Linked DNA regions of Arabidopsis thaliana. The protein of the gene in region 4 purifies or fractionates together with the protein of the main gene of each other region. This does not show direct contact. Each region holds a gene or a part of one and is shown on either strand. Other genes may lie near its edges. The genes, in order: AT1G26880, AT3G28900, AT4G18100 and AT3G14600.

Region 1 (4,324 bases), on a different chromosome or scaffold from region 4:
ACTATAAGTCCCTTCTCTTACTTGGATTTCACTTCATACGACAAACCCACCAACGTTTTCAATCCGGTTTCATGTTTAGACCAACAATACCTCACAAATCTCTTTCTTGCCACACAAGAAACACAACCTCAGTTTCCCAGGCTCCCCTCGTCAAATGAAATCCCATCGTTTCTGCTAAACACGTCTTCAGATTCGACCTTCTTGGGAGAATTCACGAGCCATATCGACCTCAGCGCAGTGTTGGCCCAAGAGCAATGTCCCCCGCTTGTAAGCCTACCACAGGAGTATCAAGAGACGGGATTCGAAGGAAATGGTATAATGAAGAACATGCGTGGTTCCAATGAAGATCATCTTGGTGATCATTGCGACACACTTCGGTTTGATGATTTCACTTCAACAATTAATGAGAACCATCGTCATCATCAAGACCTGAAACAGAACATGACATTGCTGGAGAGTTATTATTCTTCTTTATCGTCCATCAATAGCGATTTGCCAGCTTGTTTCTCCAGTACAACCTGATGTATGTGGATAGATTTTCCCATCTCTGCCTTCTTGGCTTGCTTTTTTCAAGCTAGGGTATTTCCTCTTTGTAGGCTTTCTCTTTCACTAAATTAAATCGTTTATTAATTATGCTTCCTTGAGTTTTTATTTTTCACAAGCAACTTTGCTTTAATGAAGAAGGCATGAGGTAAGTCAAGATGAACAAGAGAAAAACTGAATCGAGTTTTACTATATTCAAAATAAAGACCAGTAAGTATATTATTTCTGGAGCTGACTTCATTAATCGCATACGAGACTGTCGTTGTAGAATTCCCAAAAATTGAAGCATAGTTAAGATTTAAGACTCAAAATTGCTATTCCATAGTTGTGTCATGACGCTGAGAACATTAAAGTGCAAGCTTGATTTAGCCTCCGAGAGATTCAGAAATATTATATTAACCAAGAAGGTAATCACAACAGCTTATGTGATATGCATCAACAATAGAACATTAAAGATGAATTCAACAATTCCAAAACTGAAGAGAAGAGAATTGTCGACAAAGTTAAGAACTGATAACAGAATACAAAGCTTAAAAATTGGTCGAGTAACATAGATGTCCTCACATGACTGCACCAAGTCCTATCACTTGAACATAGCCATAATTCCAAAACAGAGAAGAATAAAACATAAAAGCTTAAGCCTTGGGGGCTACTTTCTCCTTAGCCTTTTGGAGTTTCAACACTTTCTTCACAATCTTTTGCTCTTCGACAAGGAATGCCCGAATGATCCTGTCGGAATCCAAAAACAACATTACGTTAAAGAACACCAAATTTATTGTAATAGAAAGATGACTCAAGTAAGATGGACAACAAACCTTTCCCTGACTGCAGAACCAGACAAGACTCCACCGTATGCTCGGTTTACAGTCCTCCTGTTTCTTGATAATCTTGACCTCTTGTACTCAGAGGGCCTCAAGTGAGGGATCTGAATAAACAAACAAAGTTATTCACATAATGCAAAAGGAATATGCCATTGCATAATCAAACATATATAGTTGGGAATAAACTGAAAATTTATGCCAAAGGTGGATAGCAAATCCTTATGTAATACAAGGAACAACTTGAAAGACAAAGTGGCACCGACAATTTAGCTTATGATTTATGTTATGTACTGATGTGGGATTTATCTAATCAGCACAAGACCGTCAATAAGCACAATACTATTAACTAAGTAACATGGTTTCTTGAAATAAGAAGACATGCCCATTAAAAATGAGACTGATCAATACTCAAAACATTCTAAAACACTCAATCTGATTGATTTGGTTATACATAGCCATCAAATTCCTAAAAAATTCAAACTCTTAACTCTATCTAGACCTCAAATCAAGACTCTAGATACAAGAACCATGTAAACCAAATCACACGAAGCCAAATCGAAATCAGAAGACTTACTCCTTGAATACGCTTGCCAGTAACAGGACATTTGGGGCCACTAGCTCTCTTCTTTGTGGTTTGATACACCAATTTACCTCCTGAAATCAACAATCCCAACACACATTACACTATGAAGAACAGATCGGTGATTAGAGAATTATGAGACTAAAGCAGAGGAGATTGAAGATATCAAGGAAGAAGAAGAAGAAGAAGAAAGGGACCTGGAGTCTTGACGATACGGTGCTGGTTCGATTTGGTGGCGTAGCTGTGTCGCGACCGGTAAACAAGACGCTGCACCATTTTCGCCTCCTTTTCTCTTTTAGGGTTTTCGTTTGGAACGAAGAATATAAGGGTGAGACTCCAAACCTAAACTAAGACTACAACTATATGGGCCTTTTCTCATTTTGGTCTTTAATTATGCTCCAGTTAAAGGCCCATGTACAAATAATTAAAAAAAATTCAACTTGTAAAAACCAATTCTATTATTAGCTGCAATTAGAATAAGTATCGTTTGTATGTTGTAGTGAACAGAAACTAGAAACATTATTACCAATTTTTATTTTGATTTTTTAAGAAATCATAGATGCATTAAATTATACGTAGAACTTTAAAAAGATTAATTAGTATTATAATCCGTTTAGTCAAAACACATTCAATTTATTTTATCAAATAGTGTAACAACAAAAAATTTAAATTCATGGCACGTAAAAACATAATCGATACATTTACAAGGGCGTGGTGCAAGCAATTAGAGCAAGCCAAGTAGAGAAATTAATCAAGGTTGGCGGCAAAATTGGGAATTGGAAAATAAATTCATCCAAAATAACAAATGGAAATATAAGGACCAGGCTAGAAAATTTGGATTTTCAACAATTTTGTTTGGTTTGATGATTAGATTTTTAAGGGAAAAAACTAACAATTATGTAAGAATGAGAATCGATTGATATATTTTATGTGTGTCTATATTGCAGTTTTACTTTAAAAATTGGGCAACTTTAATTTAGTTTCTTTTTTTATATGCATTAATAATATATATATATATATATATATATATTTTTTTTTTTTTTTCTTTGAACAAATAATAAATATTTGTATAATAATTGTTTTTTTTTGAAAAAAAGCTTTATAATATAGACTCACTTTTGTGTCACAGCCAGCGACGAGAAAAAAGTTCCATTGGCGTCTAGCTAGGTATCCGGTATCCCACATGGCCACATCTATGGGTTGCTTAAGTTGTTGGTCTTTTTTTTGGGATATTATACACGACGATGAGCATATATCAACTGTTCCAGAAACCGAAAGTTGTCAGATAAACGAAACTAGAATCTGTGCTTTTCCTAACGATTTGCTCTTGCAGATCTTGCATCACGTCCCAACAAAAGAGGCAGTCGCCACTTCAATCTTGTCTAAACGATGGCGTTATGTCTGGCCGATGGTGCCTAGACTCGAATTCAAAGAAGATGACAGCGAGAGCGTGGGGTGGTTTATTGAAAAGTCATTGCAACTCCATAAGGCACCGAAACTAGATAGTTTGGTTGTGGAACTCGGTCCACATTGTCCTGTTGACGTAGATGTCGGAAAGTGGGTTGAGAACGTAGTTAATAGAGGTGTGAAAGAGTTAGATTTCAATCTCCTCTGGACCGCAGAACCCACAGGATTTCCTAAGTGCCTTTACACATGCAACACGCTCGTTGATTTAAGTCTATCCAACAAGATTCTAGTGAACGTTTCTTCCCCTGTTCGCCTACCATCTCTCTTAACTCTGAGTCTTCGCTTTGTGGTGTACAAAGACGAAGAATCTCTTGTTAGCCTTTTATCAAGCTCCCCTGTTCTCAACTGCCTGAAGGTGGATCGACATAAGGATGACAACTTGACAAAATTTACCGTGAAAGTATCTACCTTGAAACAGTTACATTATAATACTACTCGGCGGAAGGATGGGGTAGAGGATGAGGAAGACGTGGTAGAGGAAAATGAGGTAGAGGATGATGATGATGTAGATGAGGTAGAGGATGATGAGGAAGGTGTGGTTGAGGAAGTTGACGTAGGTGAGGTAGAGGAGGATGATGATGATGATCTCAATAGATCCTTGGTAATAGATTCCCCTGCATTAGAAATTTTACGCTTACGTAACGTTTTGGACTATTGCTTGATAGAGAATATTTCTTGCCTTCATATAGCAAAACTCGGCTATGTTCATAACCCCGATCACAAGTTTCTGAGATCTCTTTCTTCTGTCATACATATGTACTTGTATTTGACCAAGCCAATGGTACCGATTACATATCTCCGATCCTCTTCTTTTCCTTGTTGCTTAGCCAACTAATGTTATATTTTTTTTTAATCACAGGTTGCGTGGTGTAACACCATCAAGTTCTCTCGGCTCTTGGAGTTTTATTTTGTT
Region 2 (5,168 bases), 6.0 Mb from region 4:
TATATAATATATAGAGTTTAAAAAATCTTAATTTTTTCCGTCATATTTTATGATTCAAAATTTTAAAATTGAACATATATTAACCAATTAGCAAAAAATGTGTGGGTTCAACGTCCCGCATCGACAAAAATATTTAGAAAATGATTTATAAACATATCATAAATAAGATCAACATTAATATAAATAAATGGTTTTTTACGGGACGGGTTTGGCGGGATGGGTTTGGCAGGACGATACTTAATAACAATTGTAAACTATAAAATAAAAATATATTATAGATAGATACAATTTGCAAAAAAAAAATTATACTAACTTTAAAAAGATAAATTGTCACCGCGGTATACCGCGGGATAAAATCTAGTTTATATATTATTTTTGAAGAAGAGCTTGTTTGCCGTTTATTTCTATATAAAATTAGATGTTAAAATAAAACAAATTTTATTTGTTTTATTTGTTTTTTCTATAAGGAAATAGAAAAACATTTTTCAAATATAAATTTTTATGTGGAACATAGAGCATCCTCATTAGACAATTTTTGGAATTGATGGGTATCTTTAGCATAGATTAATAATAAATTTAAAGACACAAAAGTCACTCTTTTTGGTGTCTCAAGAGACTCAAATCTAAAATTAAAGACACTCTCCATTTTTAATATTTTTATTAGTTATATATATATATATAAACTTTTTAAAAATCTTGTTGACAAATATCGGCAAGAATTATACCAATAGACAAATGAACACAAACTTTTCGGTTCGCCCTTTTCTCTCTCTTAGAATTTTACTCTCCCTTTTCTCTAAAACTCCAGCCGCCGCCTGTATTTAGGGTTACCGGTTCCGGTGGCTTTCTCAGCACCGGAACCGGGGTCTTTTGTTTTGCTCTTATTCTACCTTTGTTTTATTTTCTCTTTAGACACATCTGAGAGATTTTCTTCCAACGGTTTTGAATCTGAATTTTCAGATCTAGATATATAAAGTCTAAAACTTTTCCTTTCTAGGTTTTTGCTGCTTGTCTTTTGTCTTTTTCAAGAGCAGAGTCAGATATGGCCAATCTATCCAAGGCAGAGACGTTTCTATCCGAATTTTCGCCTCAGACTTCTGAAATTTCACCTGAAGATCCCGATCTCGTTCTCTCCTTTATAAGGCTCTCACTCCTTCGGGTCTTTGAATGTTGGTTTTATCTCACCACCCATGCGTGTTTAGGTAGAGTAAAGGGATCAGATGTGGTGTAATTTGTTGGATCGGGTTTTTTTCCCTTGTTTCATTTTAATATGTTTTTAGTCCCCGGGAGGTTCCATGTACTCTCCGACTTAGCCTCTGGAAGAGTATTTCTCTTGTCAGCTCTTGTACTCAGATCTTCTATCAATGAAATCTATATTTCCAGTGAAAAAAAAAAAGACCAATGAACACAAACGGAGACACTTTGAGAAAGTAAAATCTGAATGGAGAACAAAACAGAACTCAGAAATTATCAAAAAACAAACATTTGCCTCTTTTTTTCGTGAACAAAAACTCATGTCTATCGATCCCTACAAAATAAGTTTCTCCATAGATCTTATAAGACTCCAAAAAGTTTTCTTCTAACTCTTTGGTGCAGTCTTCTCTTTCGCCTTCTGAAGCTTCAAAACCTTCTTCACAATCTTCTGTTCTTCAACCAAGAAGGCCCTGACGATCCTGGAACAGAGAAAAGAGTAAGATTAGTTGCAATACTCTAAAGAAACCAATTTTTAAGAGGTCTTTACAATACACTTACCTCTCCCTAACAGCAACTCCAGATAGAACACCACCATATGCACGATTCACTGTCCTCTCGTTCCTTGCCAACCTTGACCTTTTGTACTCAGCAGGTCTCAAATGCGGAATCTGCAGAAAACAAACATAGAAAGTAAAGCTTAAGAAACCATGCTAATTCAAAAAAAGGAATGTGTTTTTGAGGTTCTATTGAGATTAAGCATATGAGTAACCCTTGATTATTCGATAAGAACCAGGGGCTGATCCAAGTAACTACCAACTCATTATATACCAGGTACTAGTCTTCGACAAACACAATAGGAACAGAGAAAGCCAAATGATGCTCAACTTAAATTCAGGCTATCAAGTTATTGTTAGAATTAGCTGAAAGGAATACTAAGTCGAGTAACCATGTAAACTTTGTTTCTCTATATCAATGGGCATGAAAGTAAGATATTTTTCACCATTTTACCAACTTAAGGAAAGCCTTCAACCAACAAAATTCTTGAATTCAATCCCTAAAGTGTCTATGTTTTAATTTAAGTTCCAAATTTGGTCTCAATGCCAAAATAACCAATGTGTAACCCTTGGTCTCCAAGACACATTATTCGTAAACAGAAACATAAACACGAACCAGAAAGCAGCTAATAGACCACAAGGGACATGAACCAAACTTGCATATCTTTAAGAGCAGGCTATCATCAAGTCAAGGTAAGAACTGGCTGAAATGGACATGAAGTATAAATATATTACGACAAGTCTAGATCAATTTTAACTTTTATCCCTTGTGGCTTTAGAGGCGACAAGTTTATACAAACATTGTTGTCCACTACACATAAACACGTACACTAACACCAACATTTACAAACTTTTATCCAAATATACTAAAGAAAACAGCTAGCACCACAAGAGACATGAACCGAATTTGAAACAGTCAGTCAAATTAAACTCAAACACGAACCCTAACACCAAAAGACACAAACTTTCTTGAAACAGAGAATCAAACTAAACTCAAAACACGAACCCTAACAGCAAAATGCACAATTTCTTGATCCAGAGAATCTAACTAAACTCAAAACACGAACCCTAACAGCAAAATTCACCAACTTTTTTGAAATTGAATAGAAAAGATTACCCCTTGGATTCTCTTGCCAGTAACAGGGCACTTAGGTCCACTAGCTCTCTTGTTCGTCGTCTGGTAAGTCAATTTTCCACCTTTAAGCCAAATAACCCCAAATTTTCAACAAAAACTAGATCCCAAAATTTCAATGATCTTTCAAGAGTCACTACAAAGAGACATTAGAGAGCTTTTAGTACATTACCAGGAGTTTTGACGATGCGGTGTTGGTTGGACTTGGTGGCGTAAGAGTGACGTGATCGGTAAACAAGACGTTGAACCATTTTTGCTGAGCTCTGAGGTCAGTAAGAGTCGGCCAAAGGGGATAAAATGTATTGATACGAGTTTATATATGGAGGTGATCTCTTGAGCCCTAGATCTAATGGATGTAGTGAGCTTACGATTCGACGGCTCAGATTGATTGTAGTGTTTTTTATCTTTTTCTTTTTTTCTTTAATTTGTGTATTAATCAATAGTTTCTATATTTGCATTTTGTGTTGGTAAAGAAACACGTAAAAAAACACTTAGAGCATCTCCAATGTAAAAATGAAGCTTTCTTCATAGGTTCTATGTTTTTAAGTTGGAAAAAATATATCAGAATGATTTATTTTTTGAGAGAGCTGTCTCTCTTGAGATAGATTTTGAAAAGCAAAAGAGACTATTACGTGTCATGTTTTGCCCGATTTTTTGACAAAACAAGAAGAAGAAAAAAACGATTCTTTGACAAAACAAGAAAGAAAAAAAACAGTCTTTTTGGCGATAGCGATTAGGTCGGAGATTTCTCTGATTACATTGATTGGGACTAAAATCCAGTGTGATTAAATTGTTGATCGAAGACTCAATCATAGACGATCCTTTAGTGAAGAAGCAAAATCACGGAGAACGGCGAGAAGAATGTGAAATCGAGAGCATCGTTAGAGGAGCTTTATGATTTATAGAGGCAGAGGATGGAGAAGCGTCGGCCGGAAACAATGTGCATAGGTACGACCTTGAGGTTAGTTTATTCCTTTTAAACCTAATCAAAACAAAATATAGTATTCATGGGATTAGGTTTATTGTAATGGATTTGAGGATTTGGTAGATAAAAGCAGTAAATTGTGGATTGAAGAATTTTCTTGTAAGAGATGTTTCATGTAAGGGAAGGATCATATTCTGGAACATTTGTTAGCTTTGGTTACTTCTCACTATCTACATATACATTTTTGCAGTCATTTTATGAAATAAATCCTCGAGTTGGAACTTATTTACACGGAATGCCATTGACATTAATATTCCTAATTAGTAGCATTTTCTTATCTAATATATCTCCATTAATTATAATTACTTAAAAAATGAGAAATTTTAGGACATTATTAATATATACTTGATTAAAAAATAAAATATTGTAGTTAATTAAACATTTAAAATATTTAACAGAATAAACGTTTAGAATATTTATAATATGTAAAATCTATAAAATTTATATAATTGTTTGAAAAAACTTTTAAATTCATTTGAATTATATTTTTTTTAATAAAAGTATTATTTAAACAAAAAACAAAAAAATAGTTTTTAATTTCACCGAACGGGATTAGATGGTAGGACGGGTTTATAATATTTATAATATATGAACTTTTATACAATTTAATAACCATTTGAACTAAAAACAATTAAATTGATTTAAATTATATATTTTTCAATTAAAGTATTATTAAAACAAAAATAACAAAATAAAGTTTAATTTCATTGAACGGGTTAGATGGTAAGACGAGTTTGGATCGATAAAATACGAGACGCTAAACCACATGTGAAATCCATTAGATATGTTTGATTTCACTGAACGAGATTAGATGATATGACGGGTTTAGGTCGATAGTAATACAAGACGGTGTACCATAGGTGAAATCTTAGATATAAAAATTAAAATACAATTATATTATCTTAAACACTAAAAAAATAAAAATATTAATAAAACAAATATAATTTAAATTTGAATTATTTAGTTATAATCTAGATTTTAACTTAATTAACTGTATTTTATTTTTCTTATACTTTTAAACAGTAAAAATTAAACATAGTAAGATATAAGAGTTGTACATTTTAAAAGTACAGCAAATTAAATCATATATATTTTAAATCTACTAAACAAGTTAAATTTTTATTTTTAAAAAAGAATATAGCCTCGTGGTGTACCGCGGGTTAAAATCTCGTTGTAATGAAATTCAATATACTCAGGGGATGATTGAAGTGAGAGAAGGATTCTTGGGTTAATTCTATAAAGTATAGAAAGATAAAGTTTTGTTGCCTTCAGTCTGATTCTGCATTGAATACTTCGAGTGGGC
Region 3 (3,660 bases), on a different chromosome or scaffold from region 4:
GTTTCTCCCACGAATACAGAAGAAACACTTTCTTATATATGTGTGTATTATATATACACATTGATAAAGAAGAGAGAAATTAAATAAGTTTTTGATTATTCCTGAAATTAGATATTCTTTTGAAAGCATTATTAAAAGAGAGAATCTTTAATTGGATGGAGAAGAGAAGAGTAATGATCGGAACAACGGCGAATGATTGAGTAACAAAGGACCAAGTGGCTCGACATTTTTTACTCCTTTTTCTATTTTTTCCCATTAAATTCAACTATATTTAAACTTCTTTTGGAATCCGAAAAATATATCTGTTTAATTGTTTTTAGTTGATAATACTTAGTCAACTAAAACATTTGACAAAACAAAAAAAATCAGTTTGGCCCGAATTTTTTAATTTTGTGTTTAGATAATCATTGATTAAACATGTTCCATTTATTTAGGGCATCATTTTTTCTATTTTTCTAAATAAATGTAAATTTGAAACCTAAGTGAATTTGGAGACTCCAATGAACCTCTATAAATAAAGAAGAGATCGATTGTTTTAGAGCCAAAACAGACATAATTTAATCAACAAGGCTTTTAATTATGGAGGGCACATCAACATGGATTCTAAACTATGAATCTAAGACTCACATCGTCGATCACAAAAATTCAGGATCCTTCTCAATAAGTATCCAAGGAATTGAGCGGATTCTTATCCGGAGTCCTAGCGGTCGTGAAACTTTGGCTCAACAAAAATCGCTAGGAAAGAAGAATGCAACAGTAAGAATCGCATCCGAGATCCCACCTGTTTTCCTCACCGGAGAAGAAATATGCAGTATATTTGTGGCTAACGTGTTGTCCAAGTCAAAGATCAACAAGTGGATTCAGCAAAGTATTGTTCCTAAAATCTGCGAAGACCTGATTGATATAAGACGCCACCTTGAAGAAGAAGAAAAAGATGGTTTCTTGGTTGAAGTTGAAGTTGTTCTAGAAACGTTGTATAGTGATTGGTTAAGAGTCAATGATTATGACTCTCAAGGTTGTCTAATACCAATAGAAGAAGAGTGCATAATATGTCTAGAAGAGTTAGCATCATCAGGTAGTGAGAGGAGGATCATGAAGTTGCTTTGTTCTCACAGTTTTCATAAAGATTGTATTCTCCCCTGGCTACGCTGCAAGCGATCATGTCCTACTTGTCGTGACGACATCCACAATCGTCGAGCAGAAGAAGACCACCATGAATGATATTTTGTAAAAAGAAATTAAGAAACAAAAAAAGAAAAAGGAAGAAAGAAACAATTCAAGCGTTTCTCGTTTCTGGATTGATAATATGCAAGATGTTTGGTGCTAGATTCTGAGTTAAGAGTTTTGATTTCCTTTGTTGTGTGCTTCCTTAGTCGTCATTGTTTTGACTTGTTTCTCTTGTAGTGTTGTTATTTGCTCTCCATATTTCTTGGCTTAGTTTCCGAGGATATCTTTGTCATCCTTCGACTTAGTTTCCGGGATCATGTATTGATCGTCGGCTTTTTGTATTTCACCTAATATCTCATCAATGAAAATTAATCTTCCAGTGAAAAAAAAAAAACGAAAAATTTTCTTAATTGAAGAAAAAAGTGTATTTTCCTTTTAGTTTAATAAATTAGATTGTTTTCTTAAGAGCATACAATTTCTTTAGTTGAAGGAAAAAACGAAAAGGCCGTGAAAGAAATCTTATTGGGCCACAACGTGAGCCCATTTAGTAATGTAATATCAGAAACCCTAGTGTACGCTTATAAAAGACATTTTAGGTTTGTTCAGCTGTTTTACGGAGTCGCTTTTGAGATATCGATCTTACGAAGAAGCAAATATGGCGGTCCCATTGCTTACCAAGAAGGTTGTGAAGAAGAGGTCTGCTAAGTTCATCAGACCCCAGAGTGACCGTAGAATCACCGTCAAGGTAAACCCTTTTTCTCATTTGATTTCACAGAGTTTTAGGATTTTAGTAGATCAATCTCTGGGTTTTGTTCCTTTAAGTTTTTATTGGTAGCTGTATCTTAAAGTTTGTAGCTTTAGGATGCAATATGGTGGTTGAATTAAACATCTGACATTAGTCTCTATCTATGAAGATATTACATGAAAATGATGATTTTAGCTTGCCTGAGTTCTCTCATGAACAATATTCATTCGATTCCAGATTAGGTTGAGTTTGATTCCAGATTAGTCTCTTATGTCGTTTTTGGAAGAATTGAGCTTTTTGACATGTTTGTGGTGATTTGGTTTGATTTCTTATGTACTTTGTGGTTGGGAAATATTCAGGAAAGCTGGAGGAGGCCAAAGGGTATTGATTCAAGGGTGAGAAGAAAGTTCAAAGGTGTGACTTTGATGCCCAATGTTGGTTACGGATCTGACAAGAAGACTCGTCACTATCTTCCCAATGGATTCAAGAAATTCGTTGTTCACAACACAAGTGAGCTCGAGTTGTTGATGATGCACAACAGGACTTACTGTGCTGAGATTGCTCACAACGTCTCCACTAAGAAGAGAAAGGCAATTGTTGAGAGAGCTTCTCAGCTAGACGTTGTTGTTACCAACAGGCTTGCTAGGCTCCGTAGCCAAGAAGACGAGTGAAGAAGAATCTTGCCTACTACTTAGTTGTTTCTTCTGTTTTGTTGCATTTCCTTTTTGTTATAAGACGATTTTTGATTACTGCTGTGTTTGTGTTTGGAGTGAACAAACATGAGTTTTGGTTTTAGTATGAAACAGATCAAGTTAAGACCTTTTGTTAAAGCTATTTCGGATTCATTACTTGTCAAAGGTTGAGCCTATTTCATCTAGAATTTAATAATTTGTCAGAGGATCTCAATTTAACTTGGTGGATGATTTGAATTGTTCGAGTCTCTCACATTCGGTAGACAAGAAGCGATCAAATTACTAGTAGAGAGCAATCTCGTGTCTCGTTGCTGAAACAATGCATCTATGTACAGTTAAACTTGATTGACTTACAAACACAGCATAACTAAATACAATGTAATTATAGTACACATGAGTTTACAATAAACTCAATGGCTTTTTGGTTCTGACAATTGACCCACACAAACTCTAACAGTAACACCAAAAGTTTTGACCTTTCGTCTACCAAACGATATGCGAGAGAGAGCAACACCATATTTTCATAGTTAAAGAGTGAGTTTTTAGGAGATGGTGAGTCGCGTCATTCCTCAACGGTTCAGGTTCCTTAGTTACAAATTGTGTATACTAATCACTTAAAGAACCAAATCTTTGGACAGAGCTCGTGGGATTTTCAAAAGGTTTAACTTTTCCCCGACGAAATGCCTCAGAGAGATTCTATACTGTGAGAATGTAGAAGAGACGCGTAAATTTGGAGTTTACGTTTTGCTTGTCGTTTACACTACACGTCAGCTCAAACGTCTTTGTATGAAAGACTACTTAAGTACAAACATATAGAAAGTCTCTCTCTCTCTCTGAAACGAGAAGATGAAGATCAGAGATTCGAGGGAAGATACAAACGAAGCAGAAGAAAGTGATTGGGAGAAGAAGATGAGTCCTGAATCTTCTATCTTTTCAAGTATTCTTACTGATATTGAAGAGAATCCAACGATATTGCTGAAGCAGAGGAATTTGAGCGCTGAATTGTCAACAATTCTCGATGGTAGTGATGAAGAGAATCCAACGATACTGGAGAAG
Region 4 (4,199 bases):
ACCGTGAGAATTGAGCATCTTTAAGGCAAGAGGAAGGAGACGTGGGGTGATATCATCCGTTACATTGATGGGTTTAGATCTCGCTTCCATCATCATATCAACATTCCTCTTTATATCTCCGACGAGAGGAGTGTAAGGAGTTCCGGTAAGACCCTGTCTTTTCAAAGAACTCTCAAGCATCTTTGGTTTTATCCAGACCCACTTCACGATCCGCCATGTCCACAGTACCACTACTGCTACAAGCACCGGTAAAGCTGCTACTACTGAAAAAGACATCTCCGATTCTCACACTCACTCTGGAGTCCGCAAGTTTTTGTGGGTCTTTATAAAGATTGAGACTTTTTGGCTGTCACTGGAGTTTTGATTATACAAGTTACACTCCAAATCCTTTGCCGGAAAAGGGGCTTTTTCTGTGTACTTGCGTGTAAGAGTTTTCCATCTGTTCTCGTCTACTTGCAATTTTTTTAATCGATAAATCATGAAAAGTGATCCACTGAGCATGATGAATTGAACTGCTCTCAATCCTTTTTGGGTGAAGTGTGTGTCAGACGCCGAGAGCTCCGGGGACATGTAGCATAAACCAGACTGCAGATGAAGACATTTATGGAATTGCGAGAATAGTTTCATACAAGAATGAGAATGAAGTGTTGCTAGTTTAGTGGTCGTTGGCATACAAAGCAGATTGGTTTATGATAGTGGGAGATAGTACAGTTTTGAACTTTCTGCAACATTACACTAAAGCAGCAAAACTTTGGAAACTGACGAAAATTGGAGATGAGTCACCTTAATATTGTATCATATCTAGAACAAAAAAAAAGTTGAAAAATGTTCAAAAGAAGATAACTCCAGTGTTTTGTTCAGACTAGGAACAAGAAGCCTATTCTGATGAGAATCATGTCGGTTGCTTCTACATGAAAAGGTTAGGTTTTGATGCCTTGTATGTAGTCTTAAGCTTCCTGCTTGGTGGTCTGACCTTCCTGAAAACAAGAGGGAACTTGATCTTCGAGTTATGGAACTGCTTGGTGATCTCTCTCTTGCAAAGCTTTGCAGGGACAGTCGCAGTCTTGATGATCTGAATGCAAGGGAACCTCACTCTATGACGAGAAGCCATCTCAGTGTACATCTGCTCCACTCCACCATTGAGTGTTGTGTCACGGTACTCCTTGTACATGTTGTGGTACCCAGTTCGGCTCTGATAACGCAACCAGATCCCGTAGTTCTTGATGGTCGTTGGGTTCTTCTCGAAAATCTATAATAAAGTAGAACAACAAGATCAGATACAAGTAGCCATCTTTCAGCATATCTAAGATATCTAAGTAAAATGCAATCCATACCTCATTGATGGCAAGCATCTGTCCGTTGCTTTTCTTCACCTTCTTCAGTTTCCTCATGAAGTACCTAGATACAACGAGCAAATCCATTTTAGATCAGGAAATAAACAAGACAAAATGGAGTTTACATTAACAAACTGGTATCAAATCGAATGGCTCACCAGAACTTGGACTTGGCGCATACTTCATTTCTACCCCAAAGCTTCATCCTGTAGATCTTAGGGTGCTCATCGTTCTCTGTCGGGAGGGCTCTCCCAACCACCTGATACTGGTGAAACTGCAATGTACATTGAATCAATTAATCACAAACCAACAAAAATATCAGCTTTGGTAAAACCTTAAACAGCACCAGACCCTAATCCTTACATCATATCAACTCTCTCAGTGAGTCACAAGACAACACCGATCTCTGGGCCTAAGGATAGCTAATGAAGCTTAAAATGATTCACAATGATCATTTTAGAAGACATTAAGCACTAAAACAATCATCCTAGAGATTCATACAGAACAAACCAAATCCGGAAATAAACACTTCAAATTCATATTAATTTAACGGATGCACATAGAAAAAGTTTCATACTTTCTAAGCGAATCAGAACCTATTTATCCTTATAATACACTATCCCCGACCGAGCACAGTTGATGATTCTCCAAATCAAATCTTCAGAAGTCCAAATACCCAGAATCACGTATCCTATACACAGACTAAAGAAGTAACTTACCCGGAAACCACCCATTTCCACGGAGAGATCAAGCTCCAACGAATCAGCCAAGAGCAAAACAGAGAGAAAAGAGCTAAACGGTGGCGCTCATGAGAAAACTATAAAAGAGGTTTCTCTAAAGGACAAACCCTAGGGGCCGTCTCTGTGGGCTTTTCTTTTTCCTACTTGGGCCTTTAATTATTCTTCTCATTACATTGGCGTTACAAAAATATTTGCAGCGGGTAAATCGGGTAAATTAAATTTACTTTTTTACTGTCGCCGGTCAAATGAGCTCAAGTGTTTTTATGAGTCAGTGGTTCAGGTCAAACACATTTACTAAATGAGCTTATAATCAGATTCATTTGAATTCGTATCATCTAAACAAATGCAAATTTTTTATATAAAAAAAATTCTTTGAAAATGCAAACACTAGTATGTTTTCAGAAGAAGAACTTTTCAAAGAAACATATACAGTACTGTTTTGTAATCTAGAGACAATACACATTATGTAAACAAACATTATGGATCGATCTTCTTCTGAAACAAAATCTCAACGGATTCAGATTGTTGACATCTTCACCTTCATGACCACACCCCTGATCCTCTTACGGTTCCAAAGATGACGATAATGGTAGCAAAAACAGCCTGCGAAAAGGAAGGGTTAGTCAGAATTGATTTATATTTGTGATAAAGAAAAGAGAAATGGTTCTTGTTGAGTGAGAGAGATATATAGAGTAGTGGACTTACCCCAACTGCGCAAGCTATATATCCTGGTCTCTCACGCGGGTTCCTAGAGAATAATAGAAGGAAGAAACCGATGTACCAGGGCAAAGCGAAGAAGAAACCAAGGATGAATCTTCAAGACACATCAAACCAAAAAAAACTCTCAAAAATTATCAAGAATGTAATGAGAAGAGAAGTTAGGTAAAAATAAATGATAAAGATCACTTACAATACCCAGCCAATGCCGATACCGCAACAACGACCGTGTTCTGTTGGTCTTACTCCATTAACAACATAACCTGCGACCAAAGACTATAGTTGATGAAAACTAGAGATAACCAAAACGAGCTTTAGAACAGCCAAGTGGTGTGTGTACGTTGCAATAATGATACAATCCTTTTGAGAAACTACAGTTTAGCTAGAAATTTTGGCAGATGAGATAAGAGATTCTGATGTTTGTTTCCAAATGAATCCACAATGTTCAAAATACTAAGCAAAAAAATCATTTGTCAAATTGTAAGACGTAAACGCCAAAAGAGAACCTTCTATTTGCATTATCTATTTCAAAAACCTGATTTTTTTTTTTATAAAAAAGATTCATTTCTTCATGTCATTATTCTCAAGTGAATCTAGCATCTTGATTTATATCATAGAAGAGGCAATATACAATTTCTCTCTAATTACTGGATCACTCGAATTTTCAAATAATCAAATTTTAATCCAATGCGAATCTTAGCATCTTAGATGAGGTAAAAAGTTGATCAAAAAGGATCTTCGATATAATGGATCAAGAATAAAATGAAGCTTCTATACCAAACAAAACACAAAACAAAACAAAACGACAGCTTTGATGATGTTGTCCATATAATGAGAGATGAGGAAAGAAAGAAACCTTGGGCGTAGGGCTGAGCAGGCTGAGGATAACCGGTGGCGGGAGGCTGCTGCTGCGGTGGATAGTTAGAGACGCCTTGAAACGGAGGAGGAGGCTGTTGTTGATGTTGATGATCTGTCACCACAGATCTGTTTTTATCGTCGCCACCGCTCGTCATCTCTCAACAGATCAAACTAAACAAAAAAACAGATGTTTCTCTGTTTTCTTTGATCTGGAGACGGTGGTGAACCAAGATTTCGGTTTTGCTGGATGCTTCTTATTAAAGTTTCGTATTTCTAGGGGAAGTGCATGTGCCACGTGGCTTTTTATGTGGTGGTTAGTCAGCTTTCCTCAACCAGATTTTCCTATAATAATCTTTGATATTTGCGTAATCCCAGGGGAAACATTCGCTTCTCTTTTTTTTTCCTAAATATAAAAACAAACACCGACGGAAATGAAATTTTTTGTTCAATTTCTTTCTTGTATCTATATTCTCTAACTATATATCGTTTAATCATATTGGCTTTAATGTTTATGTCACAGTCGCAATGGCTTTCTCAATTGACACTGCAC

What was found.
Region 1: the proteins of AT3G14600 (region 4) and AT1G26880 fractionate together in Arabidopsis thaliana (co-fractionation; one large-scale study listed by BioGRID). This does not show direct contact.
Region 2: the proteins of AT3G14600 (region 4) and AT3G28900 fractionate together in Arabidopsis thaliana (co-fractionation; one large-scale study listed by BioGRID). This does not show direct contact.
Region 3: the proteins of AT3G14600 (region 4) and AT4G18100 fractionate together in Arabidopsis thaliana (co-fractionation; one large-scale study listed by BioGRID). This does not show direct contact.

What each region holds. Positions count from the first base shown.
Region 1 is NC_003070.9:9,314,462-9,318,785, forward strand, and holds AT1G26880 (Ribosomal protein L34e superfamily protein), read right to left. Parts: upstream 2,420-4,324; 5' UTR 2,221-2,419; coding exon 2,142-2,220; intron 2,019-2,141; coding exon 1,939-2,018; intron 1,701-1,938; exon of another isoform or gene 1,554-1,700; intron 1,469-1,553; coding exon 1,359-1,468; coding exon of another isoform or gene 1,337-1,358; exon of another isoform or gene 1,273-1,336; coding exon 1,179-1,272; 3' UTR 844-1,178; downstream 1-843. Other genes in the region: FEZ (NAC (No Apical Meristem) domain transcriptional regulator superfamily protein), read left to right, coding at 1-522; AT1G26890 (FBD, F-box and Leucine Rich Repeat domains containing protein), read left to right, coding at 3,128-3,916, 3,983-4,192, 4,271-4,324.
Region 2 is NC_003074.8:10,901,285-10,906,452, forward strand, and holds AT3G28900 (Ribosomal protein L34e superfamily protein), read right to left. Parts: upstream 3,175-5,168; 5' UTR 3,132-3,174; coding exon 3,053-3,131; intron 2,946-3,052; coding exon 2,866-2,945; intron 1,863-2,865; coding exon 1,753-1,862; intron 1,674-1,752; coding exon 1,580-1,673; 3' UTR 1,232-1,579; coding exon of another isoform or gene 1,043-1,231; 3' UTR 719-1,042; downstream 1-718. Other genes in the region: AT3G28899 (uncharacterized protein), read left to right, coding at 1,043-1,231.
Region 3 is NC_003075.7:10,034,638-10,038,297, reverse strand, and holds AT4G18100 (Ribosomal protein L32e), read left to right. Parts: upstream 1-1,650; 5' UTR 1,651-1,822; coding exon 1,823-1,912; intron 1,913-2,271; coding exon 2,272-2,583; 3' UTR 2,584-2,830; downstream 2,831-3,660. Other genes in the region: AT4G18110 (RING/U-box superfamily protein), read left to right, coding at 580-1,221; AT4G18090 (uncharacterized protein), read left to right, coding at 3,451-3,660.
Region 4 is NC_003074.8:4,908,642-4,912,840, reverse strand, and holds AT3G14600 (Ribosomal protein L18ae/LX family protein), read right to left. Parts: upstream 2,213-4,199; 5' UTR 2,069-2,212; coding exon 2,054-2,068; intron 1,609-2,053; coding exon 1,493-1,608; intron 1,399-1,492; coding exon 1,335-1,398; intron 1,250-1,334; coding exon 908-1,249; 3' UTR 552-907; downstream 1-551. Other genes in the region: CYP72A7 (cytochrome P450, family 72, subfamily A, polypeptide 7), read right to left, coding at 3-276; AT3G14595 (Ribosomal protein L18ae family), read right to left, coding at 2,615-2,677, 2,780-2,888, 2,985-3,054, 3,648-3,804.